7 linked regions of the Mus musculus genome follow. Each later gene encodes a partner of the first gene's protein in a complex. Links are inferred from orthologs where the notes say so. Each region holds a gene or a part of one and is shown in the gene's direction. Other genes may lie near its edges.

Evidence for each region.
Region 2: Med20 (region 1) and Ccnc share a complex: the UniProt entries of both Homo sapiens proteins name them as parts of the mediator complex. The link is inferred for Mus musculus from reciprocal best matches to the Homo sapiens genes MED20 and CCNC.
Region 3: Med20 (region 1) and Med24 share a complex: the UniProt entries of both Homo sapiens proteins name them as parts of the mediator complex. The link is inferred for Mus musculus from reciprocal best matches to the Homo sapiens genes MED20 and MED24.
Region 4: Med20 (region 1) and Med26 share a complex: the UniProt entries of both Homo sapiens proteins name them as parts of the mediator complex. The link is inferred for Mus musculus from reciprocal best matches to the Homo sapiens genes MED20 and MED26.
Region 5: Med20 (region 1) and Med31 share a complex: the UniProt entries of both Homo sapiens proteins name them as parts of the mediator complex. The link is inferred for Mus musculus from reciprocal best matches to the Homo sapiens genes MED20 and MED31.
Region 6: Med20 (region 1) and Med18 share a complex: the UniProt entries of both Homo sapiens proteins name them as parts of the mediator complex. The link is inferred for Mus musculus from reciprocal best matches to the Homo sapiens genes MED20 and MED18.
Region 7: Med20 (region 1) and Med4 share a complex: the UniProt entries of both Homo sapiens proteins name them as parts of the mediator complex. The link is inferred for Mus musculus from reciprocal best matches to the Homo sapiens genes MED20 and MED4.

Annotation. Positions count from the first base shown.
Region 1 is NC_000083.6:47,610,013-47,614,404, forward strand, and holds the start of Med20 (mediator of RNA polymerase II transcription subunit 20), read left to right. Parts: upstream 1-1,572; 5' UTR 1,573-1,666; coding exon 1,667-1,680; intron 1,681-2,950; coding exon 2,951-3,105; intron 3,106-4,392. Other genes in the region: Bysl (bystin), read right to left, coding at 895-1,159; Gm20517 (predicted gene 20517), read left to right, coding at 1,667-1,680, 2,951-3,105. UniProt on the Homo sapiens protein: Component of the Mediator complex, a coactivator involved in the regulated transcription of nearly all RNA polymerase II-dependent genes.
Region 2 is NC_000070.6:21,744,597-21,748,027, forward strand, and holds part of Ccnc (cyclin-C), read left to right. Parts: intron 1-1,753; coding exon 1,754-1,833; intron 1,834-2,059; coding exon 2,060-2,178; intron 2,179-2,886; coding exon of another isoform or gene 2,887-2,938; exon of another isoform or gene 2,939-3,366; intron 3,367-3,431. UniProt on the Homo sapiens protein: Component of the Mediator complex, a coactivator involved in regulated gene transcription of nearly all RNA polymerase II-dependent genes.
Region 3 is NC_000077.6:98,726,480-98,730,733, reverse strand, and holds the start of Med24 (mediator of RNA polymerase II transcription subunit 24), read left to right. Parts: upstream 1-1,314; 5' UTR 1,315-1,362; exon of another isoform or gene 1,363-1,430; intron 1,431-1,746; 5' UTR 1,747-1,819; coding exon 1,820-1,949; intron 1,950-2,036; coding exon 2,037-2,119; intron 2,120-3,717; exon of another isoform or gene 3,718-4,254. UniProt on the Homo sapiens protein: Component of the Mediator complex, a coactivator involved in the regulated transcription of nearly all RNA polymerase II-dependent genes.
Region 4 is NC_000074.6:72,545,476-72,549,945, reverse strand, and holds the start of Med26 (mediator of RNA polymerase II transcription subunit 26), read left to right. Parts: upstream 1-1,635; 5' UTR 1,636-1,979; coding exon 1,980-2,051; intron 2,052-3,731; exon of another isoform or gene 3,732-3,870; intron 3,871-4,470. UniProt on the Homo sapiens protein: Component of the Mediator complex, a coactivator involved in the regulated transcription of nearly all RNA polymerase II-dependent genes.
Region 5 is NC_000077.6:72,212,298-72,216,855, reverse strand, and holds the start of Med31 (mediator of RNA polymerase II transcription subunit 31), read left to right. Parts: upstream 1-1,525; 5' UTR 1,526-1,867; coding exon 1,868-1,895; intron 1,896-2,640; coding exon 2,641-2,718; intron 2,719-2,982; coding exon 2,983-3,079; intron 3,080-4,558. Other genes in the region: 4930563E22Rik (uncharacterized protein C17orf100 homolog), read right to left, coding at 1,136-1,525. UniProt on the Homo sapiens protein: Component of the Mediator complex, a coactivator involved in the regulated transcription of nearly all RNA polymerase II-dependent genes.
Region 6 is NC_000070.6:132,458,202-132,461,152, reverse strand, and holds the end of Med18 (mediator of RNA polymerase II transcription subunit 18), read left to right. Parts: intron 1-1,039; coding exon 1,040-1,593; 3' UTR 1,594-2,424; downstream 2,425-2,951. UniProt on the Homo sapiens protein: Component of the Mediator complex, a coactivator involved in the regulated transcription of nearly all RNA polymerase II-dependent genes.
Region 7 is NC_000080.6:73,516,000-73,519,256, forward strand, and holds the end of Med4 (mediator of RNA polymerase II transcription subunit 4), read left to right. Parts: intron 1-636; coding exon 637-723; intron 724-1,207; coding exon 1,208-1,339; intron 1,340-1,894; coding exon 1,895-2,067; 3' UTR 2,068-2,546; downstream 2,547-3,257. UniProt on the Homo sapiens protein: Component of the Mediator complex, a coactivator involved in the regulated transcription of nearly all RNA polymerase II-dependent genes.

The DNA of each region.
Region 1 (4,392 bases):
AAGCTGCTGTAGGCCCAAAACCATGTTCAAATGTGTCAATATTGCTTTTTAGGAGAAATAAGAATGGAAGATTAAGCAACTGGGAGGTGAACAACAATTCCTCCCCAGTGAGACAGGTGGCAGTACCCACCCCTCTTCCCCCTTTTAGCCCGTAAACAATACTGTTTCCCCTCCCCTGTCGCTGGGACAGGGACAGTCCCCACTTGCTTTTCAGGTCTTATTCGAAGGACATGAAATCTGGGATACCCACCATGTAGAATTAATGTTCATCTGCTTTTTTGTTTAAATAGAAATATCATCACTTTTTTCCTCTCTCTTGAGAGACAGGGCTCGTTAATCTGAAATTTACTATATAGCCAAGAAGGTCTTCTGCCTTGCTTCTCGAGTGCTGGGATTACAGGTGAGCCTCGCCACTCCTGCTTGGAATATGTAACTCTATTTAATGGGTGCCTTGAGCTAGACTTCCGGTGTTATCAGGAGGAACGAATATCTTATTTCTGTATCAAAACTGCCTAAAAACTTAACACAGCTCAAAACATTATGCAGGCAGTCCACAAATACTTCAAACGCCCAGAGGATAAATAAATAAATGCTAGACCACCAGGTGGTGGTGGTACCCGCCTTTACTTGGGAGGCAGAGGCAGGCAGCTTTATGAGTTCGAGGCCAGCCTGGTCTACAAAGTGAGTTCCAGGACAGCCAGGGCTATACAGAGAAACCCTGTCTCGAAAAAAACCTAAAATAAAATAATGCTAGAACTGGTGTGAGAGATCACTTTTCGTTGGCTTAACTCTGAATTCTGGAATTCAGGAGTGGAAGTGGAGGAACACGCCGGTAAAGTATTCTGATGGGGTGTCAGACCGGCCCAACTCACGACTCCACCCCTTGTCACTCACCCAGCCGCGTGGCGCGCTCTCGCGGTGGTGCTGACCGATCACCAGCCCCATGGTCAGTTTCGAGCTCCTCCTGCTGTTGTCTGGCTTGCTGCAAAATCCGTCTGCTTAGCCGGGGTCCCACATACTCTTCCTCCTCTTCGACCTCACGCCCCCGCCGTTTTTCTCGGGTCCCCGCGCGCACTGCGTTCCCAGCCAGGATCTGCTCGGCCAGAGGTGCATGCTTCTCCCGATTGCTGGCCCCACGTGTCACCTTGAATTTGGGCATTTTGGCCGAAAAAATTGCCCACCAGGTTCACACGTGTGAAGCCGGCTAAAAAGCCGATACTGCGCTTGCGCTGTGTGTTCCGATCGCCAAGAGGCCACTGAGAGATCACAGTGCCCCCCAGCGTTAGGAGGCCGGAAGTTCCTCATCTATTACTCTCAGGAAGAGCTTCGGGACCTATAGCAGGAGCCCCCAAATTCTCAGGTAATCTCATTAGAAAGGTGGATGTCCAAGTCACCCTTTTCCAGAATTCATGAAAGTAGCCTAGGGCGTCCTGTCAACCCGTTGGACGCCTTGGGGGCGGAGCCGAGTCGATGACGTTCTAGAAATGTCACCACTGGGTACCAGAGATGGCGCTCCCTGTGGGCGTGTCGCCGCGGCGCTCAGTATTTGCGCATTTCCGGCGGTCGATCAACGACTGCTTCCTGTGTTTAGGGGGCCGCCGTTCGCGTGAAGGTCTGGAGTCTCTGAGTTCGAGGGTTTGGAGGCGCCACCTTTTGATCCTTCGCTATGGGAGTGACGTGGTAGGACTTGAAGGGCTTCTGTGGTGACGGAGCATATAGGGTCGTGAAGGTGTCTGTGGGCCTGTGATGGCCCGGGGAAAGGGATTTTGACCGAGGTTCTCGGTTCCTCGGGGGGCTGACCAAGATGTCTTCCGGTTGTGTGGATGGGGGACACTGCGTGGGACTTCTCTCTTCCCAGACACACCCCTTTGGCAAAGGGAGCAGCGCATCCCTAGGACCCGCCAGGAGTTGTACCTTTTTCTTGGTACCTCTTCCTGTCCTTGAGGCCTTGTAGTGTCGCTACTAGCACCCAAAGGTTAGAAATAGGGTTTCTAGATTAGGAGTTGTTCGCAGAAAGGGATAAGAGTGGCGCGAGGAGAAAGTGACTTTTCTATTTTGCTTGCAGTTACAGACTTTGAATTGGCCATTTTAAGGTGTTGGGGCTAGTGACAGAGGTAGGAGGAAAGGAGCGGTTGGGAGTTTGGAGTTCGGAGTACCAGGCAGAGACAATTTTTCGAGCTGGGTGTCTCACTGTGTAGGCTTGGGAGGCCCGGAACTCACTCTGTAGAACAGGCTGGACTCGAATTCACAGAGATCCACCTGCCTCTCTCTGCCTCTCAAGCGCACGGATGAAACGGACGCGAGCCACCATCGCCTGGGCTTCAGACAGTTTTGATTGACTTTTATCTTAAACATGTTTGAAGTCTCACTTGATAAAAAGGCAGTTGGTAAGGTTTGGGCACCGTGCTTTTCTGGGTATTAATTTTAAAGTACTCGGCCTCAGCACTTAAAAGTCTTGGTAGTGGTGTGCTTCTTTCCAGTTAAAGAAGCTTGGAGGCCAGGGGCCACAGGTCTGCCCTGTGAAAGGAAGGCTCTTGCCACAGTTGACACTAGGAGCCTCATCTCATACTTCTACCCTACTGTAAAGAATGCCTGTGAGCAATGAAGACAGATCACAGCAGAGTCATTTAGAGTTCAGTTTCCCTGTTTGCAGTAAGTTGATACAGGACAGGGCCTTTCCTGGGGCCTTTGGAAGAGTCAGGCAATCCATCTGAGGGCTGATGCCTTTGATTCCAACATTTGGGAGGCAGAGTCAGGCAAGTTTCTGTGAATTCCAGGCCAGCCTGGTCTACCAAGTGAGTTCCAGGAACTCTTGGGGACTGATGGGTGGGGATCAGAGATGTCTAAGTAACTCCTAGCCCTGCTGATCCGTTACCTGTTGGGGAATTGAGTGGCTTAGCCAGAAGCTCTGTGTCTCTGGACCCTGCTGACTTGGCGTTGTGTTTCTCAGTGTGTCCCAGATGCCTGTGGCTGAGGGCAAGAGTCTCCAGCAGACAGTGGAGCTCCTCACCAAGAAACTGGAGATGCTTGGAGCAGAGAAACAAGGGACATTTTGTGTGGACTGTGAGACTTACCACACAGCTGCCTCTACCCTGGGCAGCCAAGGTCAGTAGATGGCTGAGAGCAGATGGGAGGAGCATGGCTTAGAGTATTTACGTTAATGGATCTGCTTGCTTTTCTGTCAAGGGTAGCGGTCCTGACTGAGGCAGGATGTGTTTGTGGCCTCATTCGTTCTTGGTCCATCTTATATTATGGTGGTCAGTTTGCAGTTTGATCTATTTGTTTAAAGATTTGTTTTTATTTTCAAATGTGTGTGTGTACAAGCACTTGTGCCCCTGTGTGTGGCTATATGCACACAAGTGTGGGTGCTTATGGAGGCTAGAGGTATCAGATCCTCTGGAGCTAGAGTCACAGGTAGTTATGAGCTTTCTGCTGATATGGGTACTGGGAACTAAACTTGGGTTCAAGGCCAGCCTAGGCTAGAGACTGAGAACCTTTCTTAGGAAACAAGAATTGTACACAATAACGGGAAGCACTTACTTCATTAAAGAATAGTGTTGGGGCTGAAGCAGCTCAGCAGTTGAGAACACTGGCTGGTTTTCTAGAAGCCAGGGTTTCATTCCCAGAGCCCATATGGCAGCTCACAGTTTTTGACTCTAGTCCTAGGGAATCCAGTGCCCAGTGCCCATAGTCTCTGGATACACTGTAGCTATACAGATGGTTGTGAGTCTTCATGTGGTTGTTGGGAATTGAATTTAGGACCTCTGCTCCGGTCGGCCGTGCTTGCTCAGGTCCAAAGATTTATTTATTAAGTACACTGTTACTGTCTTCAGACACACCAGAAGAGGGCATCAAATCTCATTATGCGTGATTGTGAGCCACCTTGTGGTTGCTGGGATTTGAACTCAGTACCTTCAGAAGAGCAGTCAGTGCTCTTGCTCGCTGAGCCATCTTGGCAGCTCACTCACATAGTCTTTGGCTGCCTTTGCAAAGTTTCAAGGCAGTACAACTTGATGTGGTATGATCCAGGTATGTAATTACAGTGTATAACCTGAGACAGAATAAGGTCAGCTTTGAGTGGCTCTGAGAGCTGGCATATTTTAAACTGGATTTTCAAAGCGATGAAAGATGTGAATTGGCAGTGTAGACAGAAGGGATGGGAGTTGGAGGTTCAGTGTAGAGCCTGCCTAATTCAGCAGGGGGCAGCAGAGAGGCCAGGGCAGTACAGGGAAGGCCCTGAATTGCTCCCCAATCCTGCAGTCTTTCTCCTCTTCCCATCACTACACTTTTTTTTTAAAAAAGGATTTATTTATATTTTATTTTGTTTGTTTTTAGACAGGGTCTCACTATGTAGCTCTAGCTGTCCTGGAACTCACTCTGTAGATGGGAGTG
Region 2 (3,431 bases), on another chromosome or scaffold:
CTTCTGCAAGAGCAATAAGCACTCTAAACAGCTAAGCCGTCTCTCTCCAGTACCCCTTTTCAGTTATGTCATAAACATTGCTGGTTTTCAACCTTATACTAGAGGTTGATATAAATTAAACTTAACACTTCTGTGGCATTAGTGCCTTTTTTTAATGTTTTGTTTCTTTTTATTCATATGCATTGTTGTTTTGCCTGCCTGCATGTATGTATGAATGAGGGCATTGGATCCCCTGCAACTGGAATTACAGATAGTTGTGATCCACCATGTGGGTGCTGGGAATTGAATCCAGGTCCTCTGGAAGAGCAGCCAGTGGTGCTCTTAACCTCTGAGCCATCTTTCTAGCCCCTCATTGGTGACTCTTGTAAATTGCTGAACTTGGTAGGACTCTAAAGTATTATGTATGTTCAGTGAGAAAAGATGCTGGGTTTGTATGGATAGGAAGAAATAGCAGGATGTATGGCATGTTTTTGCCACCGTGTGGTATGTGTTCCTCTCAGGTAGTCTTACTGAGATCAGTGGCTTTTATATATAGTCTTTTATGTGTTGAAACATTAATGTAAGTGTGTGTGGGGGGAGGGTGTGGGTGTGTTGTGTGAGAGTATGTGCATGTGAAGGCGGGGTACACATGGTAGAGGCTAGAGGTCAACCCTTGTCATTCTGCAGGAGCCATCTACCTTTTTGAAACAGGGTATCTCACTGAGAACTACAGCTCATTTATTAGACAAGGCTGACTGACCAGTGACCCACAGGTTACGTGTGTGCTATCATGCCCAAGAGTTTTCTTTTATGTGTGTGAATGTTTTGCTTGCATGTGTGTCCATGCATTATGTGTGGCCATTATGAAGTGCCTGCAGAGGCCACAAGAGTGCATTGGATCCCCATTACTGCAGTAACAGTTGGTTCATTCATCATATGGGTGCTGAGAATTGAACTGAATACTGGAAGAACAACCAGTGCTCTCAGCCTATTAAGCCATCTCTCCAGCCTTCTTCCTTCCCAGCTTTGTTTTAGTTAGTTTGTGGTTTTTAATGTGGGTGGGAATTGAACCCAGATCACACAAGACAGTCTTTGAAGCTTGACTAACCAAATGTGACGGTAGTGCGAAGGTTAATAAACACCTACGTAAAAATTCACTTTTTAAAAATTTAGATTATATCCTCTAAGGATGGGTTCTATTAACTGGGATCTACAGCTAGGGATTCAAGGAGGGAGGATCTGGGGTGGACACTGGAGGATCTGCGTGAGGTCCGCCTCCACAGAGAGCAAACACGGCTCTAGGTCCTTAACAATAGCCACTCCCAGCTTTCTGGATGGAATGCAGGAATTTTATTTCCTCCTTAGGGAGACATCCTGTATGGTTGACATTCCTGGTTACCCTAGTGACCTGTGAGTTCAAAGACTTCTGTACCCTTAACGAACATTTTTAAGACTTAGCAGTGCATTGGTTGGGTTGGACTTGGTTTTCTGTCACTGACTTCTGGGTGGGATTTGACTACTTTACACGTGTATGCATAGGTGATTTTTCCTGTCCTAATTTCTCGGTTGGAGTTGTTTCTCTTGTAACAAATTTGCCCTCAAGGCATCCTGTAGCTAGAGATTTCTTTTTTTTATAATACAGTGTGTGTGTCAATATTGTTGCTACATTTTTTAAAAATAGTATTAGAAAATAAGACAATCTTTATGAAAATCTTTAGTTCTAAGTCTATGTTTACAGTTAAATTTGAACAGTTGTCTGTAATTTTCTTTCTAGCTTGCCTACATGTAGCCTGTGTCGTACAACAGAAAGATGCTAGACAGTGGTTTGCAGAACTTTCTGTGGATATGGAGAAGGTACTCTTCTTTTTTGAAGACGTGGTCTCACTGTATAGCTCTTTCTTGCCTGGACCTTGCTATGTAGATCATGCTGGGCTCTGATGCATAGAAATCCACCTGCCTCCTTCTCCCAGGTGCTGGCATTGAGGCATGGGTCCTCATTGCCCTGCATGATATCTGTTCTTTACATACTGATACGTTGCTAGTTTTTGCTACTGAGAGCTTTTCAAATATTTTCTTCTAGATTTTGGAAATAATCAGGGTTATTTTAAAACTGTATGAGCAGTGGAAGAATTTTGATGAGAGAAAAGAGATGGCAACTATTCTTAGTAAGATGCCGAAACCAAAACCACCTCCAAACAGGTACATTTTAGACTTACTGATTTAATTTAATTTAATTTAATGTTTTATTTCCCTTTATGCAATTTCTGTCTTGATAAATTGAGAATGTCTCAGTTTTTAGATAAATTCTTCTGTCTAGTAACTTTTTTTAATGCAATGGAGGTCTATTACAGGTATCCCTCAACATATAGCCACATTCTGTACTTAAATTGAACTGAATTAAACAAACATTTGAAATACAGAGATAAAAAGCGTAAAGTAATTCTTTCCATTTGCCTCTTTGTCATTCCTCTCCCTTCAGTAATGATTATTCTCTTATTTCATACGTTTCAGTAAGCATTTTGAAAATTTTTGATGACATGATATGCTAAAGATAATAAATTTTGGCTTCTGAGTGATCCTATGATCCATAGCACACAGTTATGATAATTTTACCTAAGAGGAACCTCCTGTGCTAAGATGTTTTTGTTGTTTTAAGTGGATCTGTTCACTTAGGTGAGTGGCTCTCTGCCCTCTCTATGTATCAGATCATTCAAAGCGAGGACGGAGAGAAGGGAAGTAATGCTGTAAGCATAGCTGGTCCTTAGAGAGGATATACAACACTAGGCTGCAGTTTTAGACACTGCTGGTTACAGTGGTGTCGAGTTGAGAAGAGAGTGATGCTAACTGTTAGTAGGAGCTGCTTAAGGCAGTCATTGAAACAGCTACCTTTGGATGCATGTCTTACAGAAGCTCCCTGAGTGACTCTCCACTAATGGCAGGGCCTGAAGCTGCAAGATGATGCTGGACAAGATAAGGCAATCTCCTATTGTCACAGTTACTGGTACTTTCAGCTTTAGTTATTTTTATTTTAATATTCAGCATTTTTCAAATAAATTACCATATTTTTGATGTATAAAGGTTTGTTATCATTACCATATGATTTTATTATGCCATTGGACAACAGGTTTTTTTTTTCCTTTTTCCTTTTTTTTTTTTGAAAGACACTTTGGATTTTCCTAAAGAGTAGAAATGGAATTTTATATGTCAGATTTAATTTTGTAGGAAATTTGTTCAGAAGAAATTGTAATCTCTATGTTGAGTGATACCTGTAATAATAGTGAAATCGTACTCTAACTTAAATCGTTGAATGTATATGGACACTAACTTCCAGACTGCTTGTTATGTATGAGGGCCTCAAGCTACAGAAGAATAAAAACATAAAACCAACTTTTAGTTTTCTGGATTTTAATTTTTCTACATTTGTGTTTTATAATCAGGAATGTCTGTTTTAT
Region 3 (4,254 bases), on another chromosome or scaffold:
CTACATGTCTACAAGGCCAGTTTTAGAGCCCATGTGGACTGTTTTCTCAATATTTATCCTGATTCTCAGTCAAAAGGTAGCTCAGGGAGGGGGCTGTAGTTCAGTGTAGAGTGCTTTCATAGCTGTACAAAGAGGAATGTGGGACAGAAGAGGAATGGGTTGGGGAATATAGACAGAATTTGAAGAAACAGGCTGACCTATCTCCTTGGGATATGAGATTGGGAGCCAAGAAAAAGAGGGGTGATAAAGCTCTGCCTCCAAATGTGCAGAATGGTCTTAGCCACAATACCACATTTGATCCCGAGGCCTTCTTTTTTTTTTTTTTTTTTAGATTTATTTATTATTATATGTAAGGACACTGTAGCTGTCTTCAGACACTCCAGAAGAGGGAGTCAGATCTCATTACGGATGGTTGTGAGCCACCATGTGGTTGCTGGGATTTGAACTTCGGACCTTCGGAAGAGCAGTCGGGTGCTCTTACCCACTGAGCCATCTCACCAGCCCCCGAGGCCTTCTTAAACAGTTTTTGAGACACCCAATAATCTTAACCCATATTTCCTCTGTTTTGTTTGTTTGTTTGTTTTGTTTCTTTGTTTTTGTTTTTGTGTTTTGTGTTTTTTAGACAGAGTTTCTCTGTGTAGTCCTCCTGGCTGTCCTGGAACTCACTCTGTAGACCAGGCTTAAACTCAGAGACCCAGCTGCCTCTGCCTTCTGAGTGCTGGCACTAAGGGCGTGGTGCCATGCTCAGCTTCTGTTTTCTCCTTATTTCCTTTTGTATCCAAACAGTATTCAGGATCAGTGAATTCTGGGAGAATTGTCAGATTTGGGGTTAAAATGATGGTATGTGTGCTGCTACCCACACTTCAGTGTCTCTTTTGGAATAGAAATATGAAAATGAGAGCTCTAGTGCCTACAGGGGCTTTCGAGAACAAAGGCCAAAACCCAAATAGAAGCCAGGTTAGAAGCCAAAACAGAAGCCAGGCTAGAATTCACTGTTATGCCTCGTTTCTGGGAAATAGCCACAGTATCAGAATGATTGAAGGTAGGGATAGATGGCAACATCACTGGGAGACAGAGAGTTGGTTTCTCCATAGACCCTGAGACTCTGGGTACCAGCGTACCTCAGCTCTTCGGATTATCTCAGATAAAAACCACCAGAACCAATTAGATTAATCCTTCTGCCTGTTTGGCAGCTTAGACAAGTCTTAGACAAAGAACTACAATTCCCAGAAGGTATTGTGGCAGGACTCGCCTCTTGCTACGTTTCTATTGGTTGGTGTGTGTTGCCGCCGGCCAATGGTAAATGATTTCCTTAGTAGGTGTCAAGATGGCGCTGCCTACGATGTACAACCGGTTTGTATGGTAGGCTTAAATTTGGGGAGATGGTAGATGTAGGAAAAGAAGGAATTACAACTTCAGGGCCGAGGAAGGTAGAGGCAATGGGGAGAGGGTAGATCTGGGTTTGGGGTGGAAGTGGTGAGGAACGCAGCTAGAGCGAAGGGCATAATTAGACAACCGGAGCGGGCTTAACCCTTTCCTGCTCGCTTCAGGGCTTTGTTGACACTTTCTGTCCCAATTCGAGAAACGGTTGTTCAGAAACCGAGAAGGTGACAGAGCCGCTAACTTGACGCCTTCTACTCTGCCTAGTTTTTTTCCTCTCTGTTTATTTTTCTGTTTGTTTGTTTGTTTTGCTTAAACCTTCTCGAATTTCCGTTCTATTTATGTCTCCCTTGTTCTTTCCCTCAGAACTCCAGTTCTCATCTGGCTCCGTTTTTAAACTCCCACCTTGTCACTCATCTCGCCTCCTTGGAGTGACATCATGAAGGTGGTGAACCTGAAGCAGGCCATTTTGCAAGCCTGGAAAGAGCGATGGAGTGACTACCAATGGGCAATCAACATGAAAAAATTCTTCCCCAAAGGAGCCACCTGGGACATTCTCAACCTAGCAGGTCTCAAGTAAAATGGGCAAAGAAGGATGGGAGGGGTGTCCTCAGAAAAGCTGTAAACACTCAGCCTTACTTTAATTTTCCTTGCAGAAGCGCTCCTGGAGCAGGCTATGATTGGGCCTTCCCCCAATCCTCTGATCCTGTCGTACCTGAAGTACGCCATTAGTTCCCAGGTAAAGATTCCCGACTCTTGGCTTTTGGAGGTGAAACACCTGGAGAACTGACAGTTGTCCATTTAGGCTTAATTTATTGCAAAAATAACACTCCATTTGTTGTAATGAATGAATATTACATTTATTTACTCTCTCCATATACATTTACAAGTAAAACTTAAAAAAAAAACTACATGTACTTATGGGCGGGGAGGGCATGCACATCGCAGAATGCTTGTGGAGGTAAGATACTTTTGTAGCCAGGCGTGGTGGCACACGCCTTTAATCCCAGCACTGGGGAGGCAGGTGCAGGCGGATTTCTGAGTTCGAGGCCAACCTGGTCTACAACGTGAGTTCCAGGACAGCCAGGACTATACAGAGAAATCCTGTCTGGAAAAACCAAAAAAAAAACAAAAACGATACTTTTGTAGAGTTTGTAGAGTTCTTCCCACCTTTCTGGGGATTTGAACTCATATTAGCACGCCAAACACCTTCACCTGCTGAGCCTCTTTGCCAGATCCTTGTTTCTGTTTTTGAGACAGTGTTTTATGTAGCCCAGAATGGACTTGAATTCCTGATTTTTCTGCTACCGCCTCCCACAATTGATTTGGGGGTGGGTGGGTGTTGATAATCAAACCTAGGACCTGCAGATGCTAGGCAAGTGTTCTACCTTTGAGCTATTATAATCCCTCTCTGGGTGTTTGCAAATGTTAATGTTTGTCACACAATGGTAAGTCCTGGGGATTTGATCCCAGTACACAAGGGAAGTTGAAGGCAATGCAGACTATCGCTAATCGTTGAGCGATGGGGTTTATGGTATGATTAGGGCAGAGTATAGAAATGAAGAGAGGATATGGAAGTGATGCCTAGTCCTGCCTGAGCAATCACAGAAGGCTTTCTAAAGGAAGTGATGTTTAAACCAAGGTCTCTATGGTGAGTAGAAGTTAGCCACACAGATGAATGAGAATGAAGAGCAGAGAGAGGAAATTATAATTCTACACAGGCTGGGCTGGACAAATTATAAGTTATCCACTACTGAAAGTGAGGGCTGCAGATACAGTTCATTGGTAAAGTGTTTGCTTAGCAGGGACAAGGCCCTGGATTTGATCCCCGGCACCACAAAAAACCTGAAGGATATTTGGCATTGGTGCAACAGAGCTGAACACTACCCAGCACTTCTGTTTATTATATCACATATGTGATATCATAGGCATCGAGACAGAAATTTAAGGTACACTTACCCAGAGATAGGGATGGAGCTCTGTTAGTAGTGTGCTTGCCTAGCATGGACAAGGTACTGTTTTTGTTTGTTTGTTTGTTTGTTTGTTTGTTTATGATGTTGCAATGCTATAGAGAAACCCTGTCTCCAAGCTGTCTCTGTGTAGCTCTGGATGTCCTGAAACTCACTATGTAGATCAGGTTGGCCTCAAACTGACAGATCCATCTGCCTCTGCTTCTAAGAGCTGGGATTAAAGGTGTGCGCCACCACCCCTGGGTTTATTCTTTGTTACTCTACTAAACTGTAACAGGTAACATGAGCTGCATCACAGATGACTTTATGCTGTTACATTCAAATCCCTTGGTCTCTCTTGGGCTACTCCCCCCCCCCCCCACACACACACAGGGCAACTTTATTGAGTGGTAGCATGGTCACACCCAGCAAACGTGTTCGCTCTCATTCACTCTCTCTCTCTCACACACACAGACCTTGTCACAGTCCAGTTCTCAGCCACAGGGTGGGGAACCTCCTGGATTACTCGGCTCCAGAAGTAACAGGTGCCCGAGGGAGGCTCAGGGGGAGGAAGTGGGGAGGGGGTGCAGAGAGCAGGGGTGGGATGGGTTGGGAACACCCACCAGACAGCTACACGAAGAGTGAGATTCCCCGCCCTGGTGGCTTCAGCTTGGCTGCACCCCCTTCGAAGGAGCCTTCCAAGGTGTGGCTGAACATTCAGGGTTTGGGAAGGGCAGAGTCCCACTCCGTTTTAGTCCTCTCTGCAGGCTGGGGACTGGAGGGCAAGGTTGTCGGCTGCTTCAGCTCTGGGGCTTCTTCGGAGCCTCACCACCCTCTTCCCCAGCACTGTTGGCTGTCCACAGCGTCAGGTTGTCTCTCAGGAGCTGCATGATCAGGGTGCTGTCCTTGTAGGAGTCCTCACTGA
Region 4 (4,470 bases), on another chromosome or scaffold:
TTTGTAGTGAGAGCCTGTATAAGGGGAGAAAAATAAAAATCAACTATTAGATAATAATAAAAGACAGAAGATTGGCATAAATGTAATGCACCAGGAGACACTGGAAGGAATAAAATGTTTGAGACCAGCTCAGGCTTCATAAACTCTGCCAAAAAACACCAAACTAAGAGCCAATGTTGATGGAGGACCTTGTTTATTTTGCTTATCTGGTGAGATTAAGTGTATCTTCAAAATGGGCTGCTTTCCAACTTGGAACCTGAGCTCCAAACACATGCCAGGAAGAGAGTGTATTTGAGAAGTATTTGTTCGTGTTCATTCTATTGGTGTAATGCAAAGCCTTCTGTCATGTGCAGAATCAAGAAACCAGCCATGATAAATTTATTTTCTGGGTGGGTGGGAGAAAAGGGCAGGGTCTTACTTACGTAGTCCTTGCTAATCTGGAACTCACTGTGCAGACCAAGCTGGCCTGGAACTCCAGTGAGCCTCCTGCCTCCCAAGCGTTGGAATTAAATGCCTGGTTCCTCACCTCCCCCAGTACCCCCCCCCCGAAGTATGACAAATTTAAAATTAACAGGTGTTGAGCAGCTCTCAGAAGTACATGTGGTTTTCATTACCTGTTTCCCTTCCGTTTCATGTCTGGATTTTTAAGGTTACAACACTACACGAAGTTATTTCTCCCGAGGCCACTTTCGTATAGTGCACTAAACTCGGAGCCCGCCCTCCATCTGTCCAGTTGTAGGGGTCACCGAAGGACGGAGGACCGCAGCCTTTATACTTGACTTCCTTCGTTTCTTGGTTTGACTTAAAACTCCAGGTGACCTTGGTGCTTCCCTTCCTCCCCCGTGAGGCGTTCCTGTTTTCCATCACCTGAGATGCAAAGGCGGGGTCGCTCCGTCCCCTCGGAACGCCAAGGGGAAGATGCTGGGCGACGGTTCCGCATCCTGCTGTTCAGACACAGGCTGGCCACCTCCAGCCCCCCCCGCCCCCCCCCCGCCTCTAGGAAGGCGACAAAAGCGGTGCTTCCTCTTGAGTTCCAGCCCCGCACGGATGCAGACCCGAGGTGTCAGCGTCGCGCAGGCCTTGCAGACTTGCGTCCTCTGCAGAGGTGGCAGCTCCCAGACGTGACCTTAGGTCCCCGCAGCACGCGGGTCACATGGGGACACGCACTGCCCTGCAGACCCGCGCCTGGGGCCTCTGCAGCGGAGAAGGCTGTGCGGAGCTCCTCCGAGCTCCTCGAGGCACGAGTCTAAACGCAGGGAACCGCTGCCTTCCTCAGATTACCTATGGCCGCTCCAATCCTCTGGTTTCTAAACGCAGGAGGCCCTCATCCGGGGGAGGGTCTTTCCATTCCGCAACCCCAAAGCAGTCAGAAGATAGAGTCGGTGTTCCAGGACTTGAAGGGTGCGCTTCCGTTAGGAAGCCCATCCCTCCAGTCCCGAGTGGGCGTGGCCTTCAGATAGCGTCCGTTGCCACGCCCAACTGCCTCCCAACGGCCCTCTGTGTCGGACCTCGGAACCAGGCGGCAGGACCTGCTAATTGCGCCTGCGCGCGCGTGCGCACAATCAATAGGAGGGGCTCACGAGCCGGACCCTCCCAAACCCGGCGTCTCCACCCGCCCCATCTCCCAACCTCCTCAGCGTGGCGCCGACGCTGCGTGCGGCGCGGGTTACCCAGAGTGCTCAGCGCGGGGGGCAGCTCACTGGAGTTTGGTTCTCGAGGCGGCGGCGGCGGTGGTGGCGGAGGCTCCTCCGTCGGCTCCTCCTCCTCGCTCGGCGGTGGCGGCGGTGGTCCGGGGCCTGAGCTCCGGTCCCCTCCGCTTCCCTCCGTCCTCGCCATCTCCCCGAGCGCCTTGACCTCCTCCGGCGCCGCGGGGAACATGCGGCTCCGTTCCCGGAGGCCGGCGAGTGACTGACCCGCGTTCCCCCTCCTCAGCCTGCCCGCCCGCCGGCCCGGCCGCTCCCCCCCGCTTCGCCCAGGCAATGACAGCGGCTCCGGCGTCTCCGCAGCAGATGAGGGACCGGCTGCTACAGGCCATCGACTCCCAGAGCAACGTAAGTGACTGCCTCGCGATCGGGGACCGAGGCCGCATGTGTCGAGACCCTCCCCCTCCGACGCGCCCCCGGCTAGGGGCTCTCTCCAGGCGGTGATCTGCCCGCCACAGCCACTGCCATCTCGGTCTCTCTTTCTCCTGGGTCCGGGGACCGCAGGCAAGGCGGATTGCCCGGCAGCTGAGGGTACCTGAGGCCGAGGCTTCACGCGGCCTGGACTGAGGGAGCGTTTGGAGCTTTGATCAGAGCTAGTTCTTCTCCGTTGTCCCAGCCCGACCGCCCTTGGTGGTCCCCACCGTGCCTCCTTGCCTCACCTCAACCCTGGGAACTGAGAACCCCCCGGGAAGGTCTCCCTGCCGGGGGCAAGGTGGGAAGCAACTAGTGTCTCCGCGATGACTAGAGTAGCCCGCGTCTCCGGAGTCTTGGCCTTTACTCCCCTTCGGTCTCCTGGCTGAACCTCCTTCTTGGCTAGGAGGGAACCCTAGGCCCGTTCTGCCCCCAGTCTGTCTACCTGTGATGCCTGGAGAGTCTCCTCTTTTTTCTGATAGTGGACAAACCTTTCCTGGGGTCTTTCTAGAAAAGACGACCCTGCAGAGAGTGGGATCCTTCCTGTCATCTTTCTTGGCCTAAATGCTCCATTGCGCATCTGACCAGAAGCTAAAGCATGGGATTTTGGTACTGAGTTACTGCCCGTCATAGTTGATTGTTCTCTTATTCCTACCTTCCGGTCCTCTTTCCATCTCTCTCTTGCCCCTCCTGAGGTGCTTTGGGCCCTAGCCTGTCAAGATTTAATTGTAAGGGGTTACTTTATGTCACACTTTCCTCTGCTAAGAGTCCTGTGAGCAGAGGGACATCTTTTTCTTCCTGTGTGAGCATAGACTAATTTCACCTGTTCTTGTATTTTTCCCAAAGGTTTGTTGGCAGTGTAGGGGGCGGGTATCCTTGTTGCTGTTAGGAGCAGGGCCATGGGAAGATGCACAGGCATTCAGATATGAGGTGTTTGCTGGGAGACCAGGAAGTGGCCTTTGAGATCACTTTTTAATATGCTCGGGATGGAAGAAAAATCATCTTGGGCTTGGACAGGTAACCGAGGTTTGAGTCTTTTGAGTTCCCTTGACTATGCTTGACCAGTTACTCTTAGCAATGTACAATGTACACTGTATTGTGGTGTGTTCAGAATAATTCACATTGTTTGTGTGGTCTTGGTAGAAATAGAGGTGCTCTAGTTTCTATGAGATCTGCTTGCTGGATCCAAAATTATTTTCTTCTTGGTCTTTAAGATCACCTTGATAGTAATTTAGTAAATACTGTAGACATTTTCTCGAGGTAGAATAGGGACAGGCTAGATAAAAATCTTCTAGAAAGCCTTTTTAAATTTTTTTCTTTTTTCTTTTTTTGGTTTAAGGTTTTGTTGGGTTTTTTGTTGTTGTTTTGTTTGCCAGTGATTGGTATTACTGACTGTAATCACATGATTGATATATTAGGATATTAAAAGGTAAAAACAAGAGATAGGAAAACATAGCCTTGATGGCTTTTGCATCTTTGCTGAAGCCATAGTGTACACAGTATAATTTTTTGATGTTGTTTTTCAAGAAGGATTCCTCTTCTATGTAGCTTTGACTATCCTTGAACTTGCTCTTTAGACTAGGTTGGCCTCAGAGATTCTCCTGCCTCTTCTTCCAGATTAAACGATTGCACCACCACTGCTCATCTCTTCCACAGTGGAAATTTTAACTCCTGTGTAACTCCTTTGCTTGAGATCTTATCAGAGATCCTGACTGCTTGTATGTGAGAGTGTTGGGACCAGCAAGCGCTTTGACAGGTAATCATGATGCTATAGATCAGGTGGGTCCAAGTGTTAGGTAAGGTCTGACTAGAAGACCCTTTGTGGGTAAAAGAAGGAAGGTAGACAGCCCAAATTTTAGGTTTTTGTTTTGTTTTTTTCTGAGACAGTCACTGGAAGTCACTATGTATGTAAACCAGTGTAGTCTCACAGAGAATCTGTCTGCTTCTACCTCCCAAATGCTGGAATTAAAGGTATATGCCACCATGCCTGGCCCAAACATTAGTTTCTTGAATTTTCCCTTGGTCATAAGTATTACTATGCTCTTTGGCCTGTGGGTAAGTTGCTTGGAGTGTATATCTCAAAGGGAGACCTTATTGTGGTGGATGGAGTTGAGAACTTGTCTCTGAGTGAGGAGGGAAGTGTTTCCCAAAATGCACTGTCAGTGACCACCCACAAAAACAACTAGGTATATGTGCCAGGGGCTGGCTTTGCAGAATCTCTTTGTAGAATCAGCCTGGAGCACTGTCCTCCATTTCTTGCTGTGGTATTGAAGGGTCCCTGGACATTTGCACTGTTTCCGTGATTGCTCAGGGCCCAGGTAAGAGCTGCATGTTTGTGCAGGGATCTGTGCTTTGC
Region 5 (4,558 bases), on another chromosome or scaffold:
ACGCACTTTGCTCCCTTGCACTAAATTCTTTTGATGATCTCAGAATAAAATTCAAGCTCTTTACTGTAATCCCAGAAGATTTCCAAGACTCTATATGAAGTGGCATCTTCCTCCTTTTTGTTTTCTTCCTTATACCACGCTCTCATATACTAACTGATCTTTCTCTTACATAAACATCTTTGATTTTTAAAAAAAATGTAGACTTTCCCTTCTGTCTAGAATGCACTTCCCTCTAGATCCTGATATGGCTCACTGTCCACTCACACAAATCTCGGACCAAATGTAATCAGCAAGGCTTTCCCTGACCATATTCTCTAAAGAGTTCCCTACTCTCTACCACAAGACAGACAGCCTTTCCTTCGCGGGAATACAACAGCATGTTGTCTTACTTTCCCCTTTGTTGCATGTCTCTTCATTAGAGGAAGATCCTAGTCTTTTCCACTGCTCTAGCTGCCATGCTCTAACTACTACCTAGCATGCAGTAATACTCAGTTACCATCCTGTCAATCTCACGCCTCAGGCCAAGTGTCATGGCTTCTTCTTTACTTTCCCTTCCAAGATTATTAATGGTTTTATTGATTGTTTATTAATTGTCCTGTTTTTTCCTATACCCCCTGATTTAATTTTTTAAGTGTGGGTGGAATACTATGTATGACAACATGAGAAAATGTATAATGAAATATAAGTATTAATAAAGGCCAATTAATAATGTATGAAAGATGATACCTTGCCCTGTAGGTTTCAAGCAGGTATATGATCAGGCCAGCGGTCAAGAATCATGACAAGTTTGGCCCCTCTTTGCAAATTTCAAGTCGTCAACACATCCTAGAGTGACCTAAGACTATAAAACTTACCTGGTGTAGAGACTCAAAGAATCTCATTGTCCATCAGCCAGGTTTATACTGCACTACCAGTCTGAAACCTTCTGTGCTGGCTTCAAGTTAATAGCACACTGGGGTCAACAACAGGATGGTCTAAGGTGCTGCAATGTCAATACATGTTAACAGCCCCCAGAAACCACAGCCTGTTTCTTACACTGATTTATGGGTTCTTTCCATGAAACCAAAGATGCTCGGTTCTCCTGGAAGATGGCTGGCTGGCAACTCTTCAGTCCTGGCTAAGGACCTTTGGCACTTCATCGAGCCATTCTGGCACTCTGCCTGGCTGGGCTCTCAACACGGTGCACAGTAGTCTCCACCCTCAGGGATGACGACGCCCTGACGTGGCGGGAGGACGTTTCCGTGCACTGCGAGGAGGTTTCCACGTGCTGGGAGGACACCTCAAGGAACTGAGGGAGTCGCTTCGTGGAGGGGGTGAGGGAGGGCCCCTCTCGGTGGCGCTGGGAGGTCTCCACCTGCCGGGAAGACGTTCGAACCTGCCGGGAGGACGTCTCCACGCGGTGGGATGACGTTTCCTCGCGGTGGGACGACGTCTCCACGCGGACAGTCGATGTCTCCTTGTGGCGGGTGCTTTCCACTCGCGGGGCGGAGGACTTGCTCCTAAGGGGCGAGGCCATCCTGCCCATACACCTTGGTCAGGTGGGACAAAGAGGCCCAAGGATCATGCTCTGCGTCACGTCACACAGGGAAAGGTGACGTCAGGGTGGTGTATTACGTCGGGGTAGGTAGCAGGACTCTGAGACCTAAAAAATGAGAAGTCCTCCGGCACGCCCCGCTCGATATCTGCGCGCGCAGCCGGCCGGGTCTGCACAGATAGGTGGGGCTAATTTTCCCATAAGTGAGGTTGTCCCCGCCCTCGTGTCCCACTCTGCCCCGCGACCGGAAGTAGGAGCCGTGGCTTCCGGATTCTCACCAATCGAAGTCGCGGTTCGGTCGGGGCTGGTGGTGTTCGCCTCACTCTGATTGTTATGGCCGCGGCCGTCGCTATGGAGACAGGTACGTTGTGACTTGCACCCCGAGTCTTCACCCCAAGGGAATGGTCCTACGCCCCGAAATTCCCTCCCTTTTCCCTTTTCCTGCGCTGTCTTTCGGGTTCAACTTGGCATCCTTAGAGTTGGGACCGGCGGAGGAGAAGGCTGTGCTGCTTCTCAGACTATGGTCTGTGAAAACATCTTTGCTCCTGGGTTGCTCAAACCCCTACTCCAACCCTGGCTCTTGGGGCCGTGCAGGGCCGTGGGAGAGGACTGAGACCTTCCACTGTCTGTGCTGAAGGTACTCCCAAGAACTTGCCCGAAATATCGATAACCTGTGTATTCTAATGCGGACACCGCCTTCTCTCCATTGTTTAATCACTTTGCATCATGCTTCGGTTTTGTGTAGCACATTGATTTTGCTTAACGTAATCACAGTTGATAGTTGTGGTTATAACAACTTAGGGAACCGCACAGCTATTACAGACTGTCCAGTGATCTCCGCTAACAAAGTGGCCTGCAGGTGGTAAATTCCCATTCAACTTATTTTTTCCTCAATTAACTTTAAAGGATTTCTTTACTATTTTTTGTTTTACTATTTTTGTTTTGGAAACAGGGCCTCATTACTTAGTGAATATATATATATATATATATATATATATATATATATACACACACACACACACACATATATACACACACGCATATACATATATCTTTAATTTCTAAGAAAGTCTCTTCTGCACTTTGATATTTGTCTTTTCTCCTAGATGATGCTGGAAATCGGCTTCGGTTTCAGTTGGAGTTGGAATTTGTGCAATGTTTAGCCAACCCAAACTACCTTAATTGTAAGTTAAGTACATCACTAACTTAAGCAACTAGCTCTTAATTTCTGAGAAGAGATGCAGTTTGTAATACTATTTATTACTTCGATGTGTTTGAATGGGATTTTATTTGTTCTGGTCTGTAAGTTAACTGGGCAAACAAAGGCTTGTGTTTTTAATTCCTTGTGTTCTGTTGGTAGGGATGTTAAGAGCTACTTTGTTTTAGAGATTACTAATCAGTAGTCCAGCGGTTGGTTGACATACGGATTGTTTCTTTGTGTCTTTCAGTTCTTGCCCAAAGAGGTTACTTCAAAGACAAAGCTTTTGTTAATTATCTTAAGTATTTGCTTTACTGGAAAGAACCAGAATATGCCAAATATCTAAAGTAAGTTTAATTTTTATAATCCTAAATCTGTGTATACTTTATCATAAATACAAAGTGCTGATACTGAGCAGTTTTCTCTGTGTGGGAATGGAAAATGATATTTTGAATCTTTCTGCTTTTAGTTAATGTAAGATACTGTCATCTGTAACTTAGATTATTTTAGGAATTGCATTTATTTCTGCTACCATTCTTACCTCACTCCCTTCAAACAGAACCAAACAACTGTCTTCATGGGAGCCAGCTTACTCTCTAAGTAATATAAGCCAGAACACACCACTTCTGTTCATGCAGGCTAGCTAAGATCCAGTCAACTGGTTTCAGACTATAGTTCTAATGTAATTTGGTGTCTAACCTTGTCACTTAGCACTGCCCTTGTCTTTCTGGATTTTTAATGCCTACCAAACTATAATCTAGGAAGGTAGGAAGTATTGTTTTCTGGGAGTTTTAGAGGTACTGCCCTTCTTTATAGTGAGTGTTCTTTGTTTCGAGCACTGTGCTAAATGTATTGTACACATTAACTCACTGTAAAAGAACAAACACGGACACTATCAAACTCAATAGCTTTGACTTAAAAAAAAAAAAAGAAGAAGAAGAAGCTGGCACACACCTTTAATCCCAACATTTGGGAGGCAGAGGTGGGCACATGAATTCAAGGCCAGCTTAGTCTACAGAGCTACTTCCAGGGCAGCAAGCTCTACACAGGTAAGCCCTGTCTAGATGTGCCTCTCAAAGGAGGAGACAACAGAAAAACCAGAAGTTTAGCCTGGCATCCCTTTAATCCCAGCTCTCAAGAAACAGAGTCAGGTAGATCTCTATGAGTTTGAGGCCAGCCTGGTTATGTAGCAAATTTCAGGCCAATCAGGTCCACACAGAGAGACTCTTTTTTGTTTTGTTTTGTTTTGTTTTGTTTTTCGAGACAGGGTTTCTCTGTGTAGCCCTGACTGTCCTGGAACTCACTTTGTAGACCAGGCTGGCCTTGAACTCAGAAATATGCTTACCTCTGCCTCCCAAGTGCTGGGACTAAAGGTGTGCGCCACCACTGCCCGGCAGAGACTCTAATTTTAAAAATGAGAGTAAAACATTTCAAAAATTTCTTTTTATCCTCGTTACCTTCCTGACTTGATTTGCTGCCTGTAGATTTGCTCTTCATGATGCAATTATAGATTCCTTTAGGAATCCAAATGATAGACTTGAAGTTATATTAGAAGATATAAAATGTTACATGCTAGCAAATTTTCAGACCGGAGATGGAAAGCCTGAGCCAACTTCAAGTTCAGTCTCTCCAGCCAAGCTGCTGAAAGGTGATTATCTCCACTCTGGTTGGAGGCTTCCTGGGAGCATAGTCCCTCTGTTAGAGGCAGCTTACTCCATTGATAGCCAGAGGCGAGGGAGCTCTTCCTTATATTGTGCTCAAATACACCTCCTTGTAGCTCTAACCTGTTTGTAGGTTTGTTTCTTTTTCTTTTTATCTGTGTCCTC
Region 6 (2,951 bases), on another chromosome or scaffold:
TGCATGTGTTTCAGGGGATGGTACATGCATGCGAGGCAGGAGGTGCTGGGATCCTTGGAGTTGGAGTTACAGGTTGTGAGCCACTTGATGTGGATGGGATTGAACTCTGGCCTCTGCAAGAGCAGTACAAACTCTTTACCTCTGAGTGGTTTTCCCAGCCCCAGTCTTGCAGCGACTCTATTGCCTCAGACTCCTGAGTGCCTGCATGCCTGGCTCAGTTAAATAACTGTTTAATCTTATTTAATCTTTGTTGTTGTTTAATTTTATTATTTTATAGTGCTAGGAATTGAACCCCGAGCCTTCTGTGTCAGTCCTCAGCCGTTAAGCTCCATCCCTCAGCCTTGGTCCTCTTGGTGCCTTGATCAAACCCCAGCAAGGCCTTGCATCTGGAGCACATGGTCTCTCACAGATCTACACCCAGCCACAATGATTTATTTATAGCCAATGCAATTTTTCCATTTGTAGAACAAATTCAGATTTTCTTTTTCATATAATTATACTTCAGAACAAGAAGCCGGGCATGGTGATAACACCCCTTTCATCCCATTAAGGCAGGCAGGTGCTGGAGCAGTAGCTGAGAGCTACAGCCTGAGCCACTGACAGAAAGATGGGGGCCCGCTTTTGAAAACTCCCACTGACACACCTCCTCCAACAAGGACGTTCCTCCTAGTCCTTCCCTAAACAATAGGAAGTAGAGACTAGACATTCAAATCCAGGAGCTGTGGGGGCTACTGTCATGCAAACCACTACCCGGCATTTGCTGCTAAGTCAGACAACCTGGGTTCAATCTGGGACCCACAGGGAATCCGTTCTAGCGGGTTATCCTCCAACCAACATTTATGTGCCATTGTATTCTCGAGTTTGCCGAGACAAGAATGACTAAATATAAAACGTTTTGAATAGACAAATAAATAGAATCCCATGGATTGTTCTTAGAAAACGTTGCATAGAACTATTTATTTGGTGTGTGTATCTTTCGCTGGTTTCATGACCCTAAATGAAATGAAAGCCGGGACTCACTGTGCTTGTGCCTCTTCAGGAAGTGTTTTGGACCACAGTTTGGAAAGCCTCATCCATCGCCTCCGAGGTTTGTGTGACAACATGGAGCCTGAGACCTTCCTTGATCACGAGATGGTCTTCCTGCTTAAGGGCCAGCAGGCCAGCCCGTTCGTCCTAAGGGCCCGGCGCTCCATGGACAGGGCAGGGGCACCCTGGCATCTGCGATACCTGGGACAGCCCGAAATGGGAGACAAGAACCGCCACGCCCTGGTGCGCAACTGTGTGGACATCGCCACGTCTGAGAACCTCACGGACTTCCTGATGGAGATGGGCTTCCGCATGGACCATGAGTTTGTCGCCAAAGGACACCTGTTTCGGAAGGGCATCATGAAGGTTGTGGTGTACAAGATTTTCCGAATCCTGGTCCCAGGGAACACGGACAGCACCGAGGCCCTGTCCCTCTCCTATCTTGTGGAATTAAGTGTTGTCGCCCCGGCTGGGCAGGACATGGTCTCTGATGACATGAGGAACTTTGCAGAGCAGCTCAAACCTCTGGTTCACCTGGAAAAAATAGACCCCAAAAGGCTGATGTGATGAAGAAAGTTTGTCGGCCTTTTAGGCCTGTCCCCACCTGGGAGGTGAGAGACTTCGAAAGTAGCCCAGGTACTGCTGCCAGCCGGGCCCACTTCCTTCCAGAAGATGATGGCGAGACCTGGTTCCTTTCAACTGTTTCCTTCACTTGGTAATGTCTCTTTTTTCTTGCAACAGGGTTTTACCATGGAATTCACTACATAAACTAGCTACCCTGGAACTCAGGACCCTGTACTTCCCGCCTAAGTGCCTGCAAGGTCCTTATTAAACCTGACTGTTCATCTTCTTGATAGGCTTTTCCAATGAAAGACCCAGGATAATATGGAGATTTGTTCAAGTCCTCCCTCCACTCAAAAAGAGGGAACTGGAATAAATTAGCTTTTCAGAGGAAAGGTCAAAAAACAACTCATAATATTTTGCTTTTTTTTTCTTTTTTCTCTTCTTTTCTTTTCTTTTTTGTTTTTTTTTTTTGTTTTTTGTTTGTTTGTTTGTTTGTTTGTTTGTTTTGTTTTTCAATACAAGACAGGGTTTCTCTGTGTTGCTTTGGCTGCCCTGGAACTCACTTTGTAGACCAGGCTGGCCTCAAACTCAGAAATCCACCTGCCTCTGCCTCCCGAGTACTGGAATTAAAGGCGTGCGATAACACGCAAGCCCGGCTGTTTGTTTTTTTTTTTTTGTTTTTTTTTTGTTTTTTTTAGAGAAACATTTTTTATTCCTTTATTTATTTGTTGTTTTCTTCATATGTTTTAAATTGTGTTGTTTTGCCATTGATATACAAGGTTTACAATGGTGGTGTGAGCCAGCATTGTGTGGTAATAAAGACTGAAAAGACTCAGTTGTGATTCTGATTCTTACTCGTCTTAACTCCTTCCTAGTCTACTTCTATATTGCTATAGTTCTGTCTTACTATTGTTGTTATTGTGTATGCTGTGGGGGCCTCTCCAGGACCCACATGGGAGAAAGAAAGAACCGACTCCTGCCTGTTGCCGTCCTGTTTCTCCACAGGATTGGTTGAGTCCTGCACCCACATGTGTGCACACCCACACACAAATGTAATCAAAAACATTCAAGTAGCTGGTGATGGAGAGGTGGCTTAGCTGCTAAAGAGCACTGGCTGCTCCTGCAGAGAGGACCAGGCTTAATTCCAACACATCCTTGAGTGCTGACAACCTTCCGTAGGAGTCCAGTTCTAGGTGATTGGATGCTCTCTTTTGAAGTACACAGGCACCAGGCACACACTCAGTACACAGACATGTTCAGGCAAGAAAAGGGCCATGTGCTGGTGGTGCATGCCATTAACATTAGTCCTGGCACTCAGGAGGCAGAGGCAGGCAGACCTGTGGTCTACAGTGCAAGTTCCA
Region 7 (3,257 bases), on another chromosome or scaffold:
ATTTAGCCATTTCTCCATCTCTGATTTGTTCTCTGCTTGCCAGTATGGAGTCTATTTTCTGATTGTTACATTCAGGAAAACAGCTCATATTCTCTGAGAGACGGGTGGGCTTCTGTAGCAGAAGCAAGTCTCTAGGAGAGGAGGCTGAGTCCATTGCTCAGGGGTGGTTAGAACTCCTTAGTGCTTTTTGAAACAGGTCTAAAATTTATAGAATGGAAAGCTATGACTGTCTGGCGCACAATCTGCTAGAGCCTCTTCCTTGGGAGTCACACAGAGGCTGCAGACTGTAGGGTCAGCAGCTTGGATGCTGCTGGAATGAAAAGCGCTCCCCTTGGTTTACTGTCCCTCACTGTGGCATTCAGAAGACTCTGCACTTGATGGCGGCTAGTAATCGAGATGACTGAGCATTATCACGCTGGCCTTAAATTTACGTTAGCCGACTTTGCTGGGTGGGTATCTTGGTTCCAAGGTTCAGAAATGTATTTATAACAGTTTTTGTGTATGTGCAGGTGTTTGGGAGATGGACAGCTTAGATGATCCTATTTCCTGATAGTTTGAAATTAAATATGGTGTGTGTATGTATGCTCTTCTAAACTTGTGTTTAATGATCTGAACTGTTCTATTTTCTCAACTCAGGTGCTATCTCCTCTGAAGAAATCATTAAATATGCGCACAGGATTAGTGCAAGCAATGCTGTCTGTGCTCCACTGACTTGGGTTCCAGGTAACAGAGCTTCTTACATCAGATGAATGCAGGTTTGAAAGGACTGAGGTATCTAAATAAGATCATTTAACGTAGAATGTACTCATCTAGAGTAACATCTGCTAACAAAGGCATTTTCTTCAGTGTTGGAAGGAATGTCAGGTGTTACCCTCTTCTACCCTTCTACCCTTACTGTGTAGCCCTGGCTGTCCGGGGACTCATTTTGTAGACCAGGCTGGCCTGGGAAGAGAAGTCAGAGTTCTGCCTCACTCTGCCTTAAAGGTACGTGCCACCGTGCCCAGCTTAAGGATTTCCACTGTAGCTTCAGGCAGTGTGTGGCAGTATATACTGCAAAGGCAGGTACTGAAGAGGCCGAGGCAGGACTGCAGGCTTGAGGCTCACAAAGCACTTGCGTCTTTTAGTGTGAACTAAGGGCAGCTCATTCTTCAAGAACATATAAATGCTTTTTGAAAGCCTGAGTTAAAAGCTGTCTTTACTGTTTTAGGAGACCCTCGGAGGCCATACCCAACCGATTTAGAGATGAGAAGTGGATTGTTGGGTCAGATGAACAATCCTTCCACCAGTGGTGTGAATGGTCACCTCCCGGGAGATGCCCTTGCAGCAGGTAGACTGCCAGGTAATGCCAACTGGATGGGTGTTTTTAAGCAGACAGAGGTGCCCGTGAGGCACTGTCTGGTAGTGGACATCAAGATCTGTTACACAGGTTCCCTGCCAGTTTGTCATCCAAAGACCCTGCAGTGATGCACAGGACACTGACCTAAGCCCCTATGTCCCTCATGTGCATCTATTTCCTGGCACCCTCCCCAGGCCTGGCCTTCCCCTGTCGTGACCACTCTGAAGAGCATTTTTGCAGTTGAGAGGCATGCCCCCAAATAGAATAAGCACATTTTGTAGGTGCTGTGTTTTAATGTGGAAGAACCTTCCTAAGGAGAGGACATAGTGGGGACTGTGCTTTCTGAAGCCCATTGTAGCCATGGGCCACACTGTGTTAAAGTGTGGATTTGGGAATCTGCTTATTTGTGTTTAGCATTGCGAATCCCTAACCTTGTTAGATCCTTGGTACTACAAGGTAGGTGGGTGGGTAGATAGAATTAAGGTACTTGCATAGAGGGAGGGGATTTGAGTAGGCTGATCACAAGTAGGACTAATCCCATGTGCCTCTTTTCTCCAGATGTCCTTGCTCCGCAGTACCCATGGCAGTCAAATGACATGTCTGTGAACATGCTGCCACCAAATCACAGCAGTGACTTTCTGTTGGAGCCTCCTGGGCACAACAAAGAAAATGAAGATGATGTTGAGGTTATGTCAACAGACTCTTCGAGCAGCAGTAGCGACTCTGACTGAGAAAGGTGTGGCATGCACAGACTCCAGTGCGGCAGAGTTCTGTCAAGGGGGAAAGAAAAGCACAGACCTAAGGAGCCCATGAAAATCAGCGGGTTTTCTTCCTAGAGCCCGAGCCCCTGGTTTTCTATCTGTTACACAATGTTTGAGGATTAGTCAGAATTACTGTAGTGTTTGGTTGTACATAGCAGCCCTGGCATGAGACTGAAGAGGAACTCACACAACTCATGGAGCATACTTAGAAAGAGCACTGAGCCAGACGTGGTGGCTCACACCTATAGTCCCAGCACCTGGGAGGCTGAGGGATTGCTGTGAGTGTCGGGCCGCCTTGAGCTACAGAATGAGCTGAGCCACCAGGGTAACAGAGATAAGAACAGGCATCGGAGCGCTGTGTGATACTTCAGAAGTGCTCACTTGAACAACTCAATATATATATGTGGTAAATACTGTAATTTGTGTAAATAAACTTGGTTTTGTTTGTATTTAATTTTTTTCAATTTTTTAAAAAATATTTTTAAAATTTAGGTACACCTTCAGTGTAGGAAGGAAACATTTAAATCCAGTTGAATTTGAGCTGGGCAGTGGTGGCACATGCCTTTAATCCAGCACTCAGGAGGCAGAGGTAGGTAGGCAGATCTGAGTTTGGGGCCAACTTTGTCTACAAAGCAAGTTCTAGGAGTACAGAGAAACCCTGTCTGGGGAAAAAAAATCCAGATGTATTTTATAATAAAATAAGATTCTGGTATATATGATACAGTATATACAATAAAATGACTATCTTAACTCATAGTCACAATTAAGTCTCTGAGATCATTAAGTTGAAACTGAAAACATTTATTACAACCCCATACTACACAGACACATACACACAGGATAAGGAAAGTTAGAATAGATGGCCATCTCATGCCATCACCTTGTCTCCTTGTGACTTTTCTCATCTTTTACAGGACTGGGTCTCCCTGCTTGTATAAGGTACCTAGGTTAGTCTGGGACTTGCAGCCACCTGCCTTGGCCTCTTACTGTAGTTTCTCAAAAAACAGTCACTTTTAACTCTTTAGCTACCTCGTAGTTAACATCTGTGTCCACGATGTTTATATAAGTATCAGTTTTAGATAGTTATATAATAACTATCACAGAACATTTAAGAAACAGCATAAACCACAAAGTGAACCTGGCCATCTACTCTTGAGTAC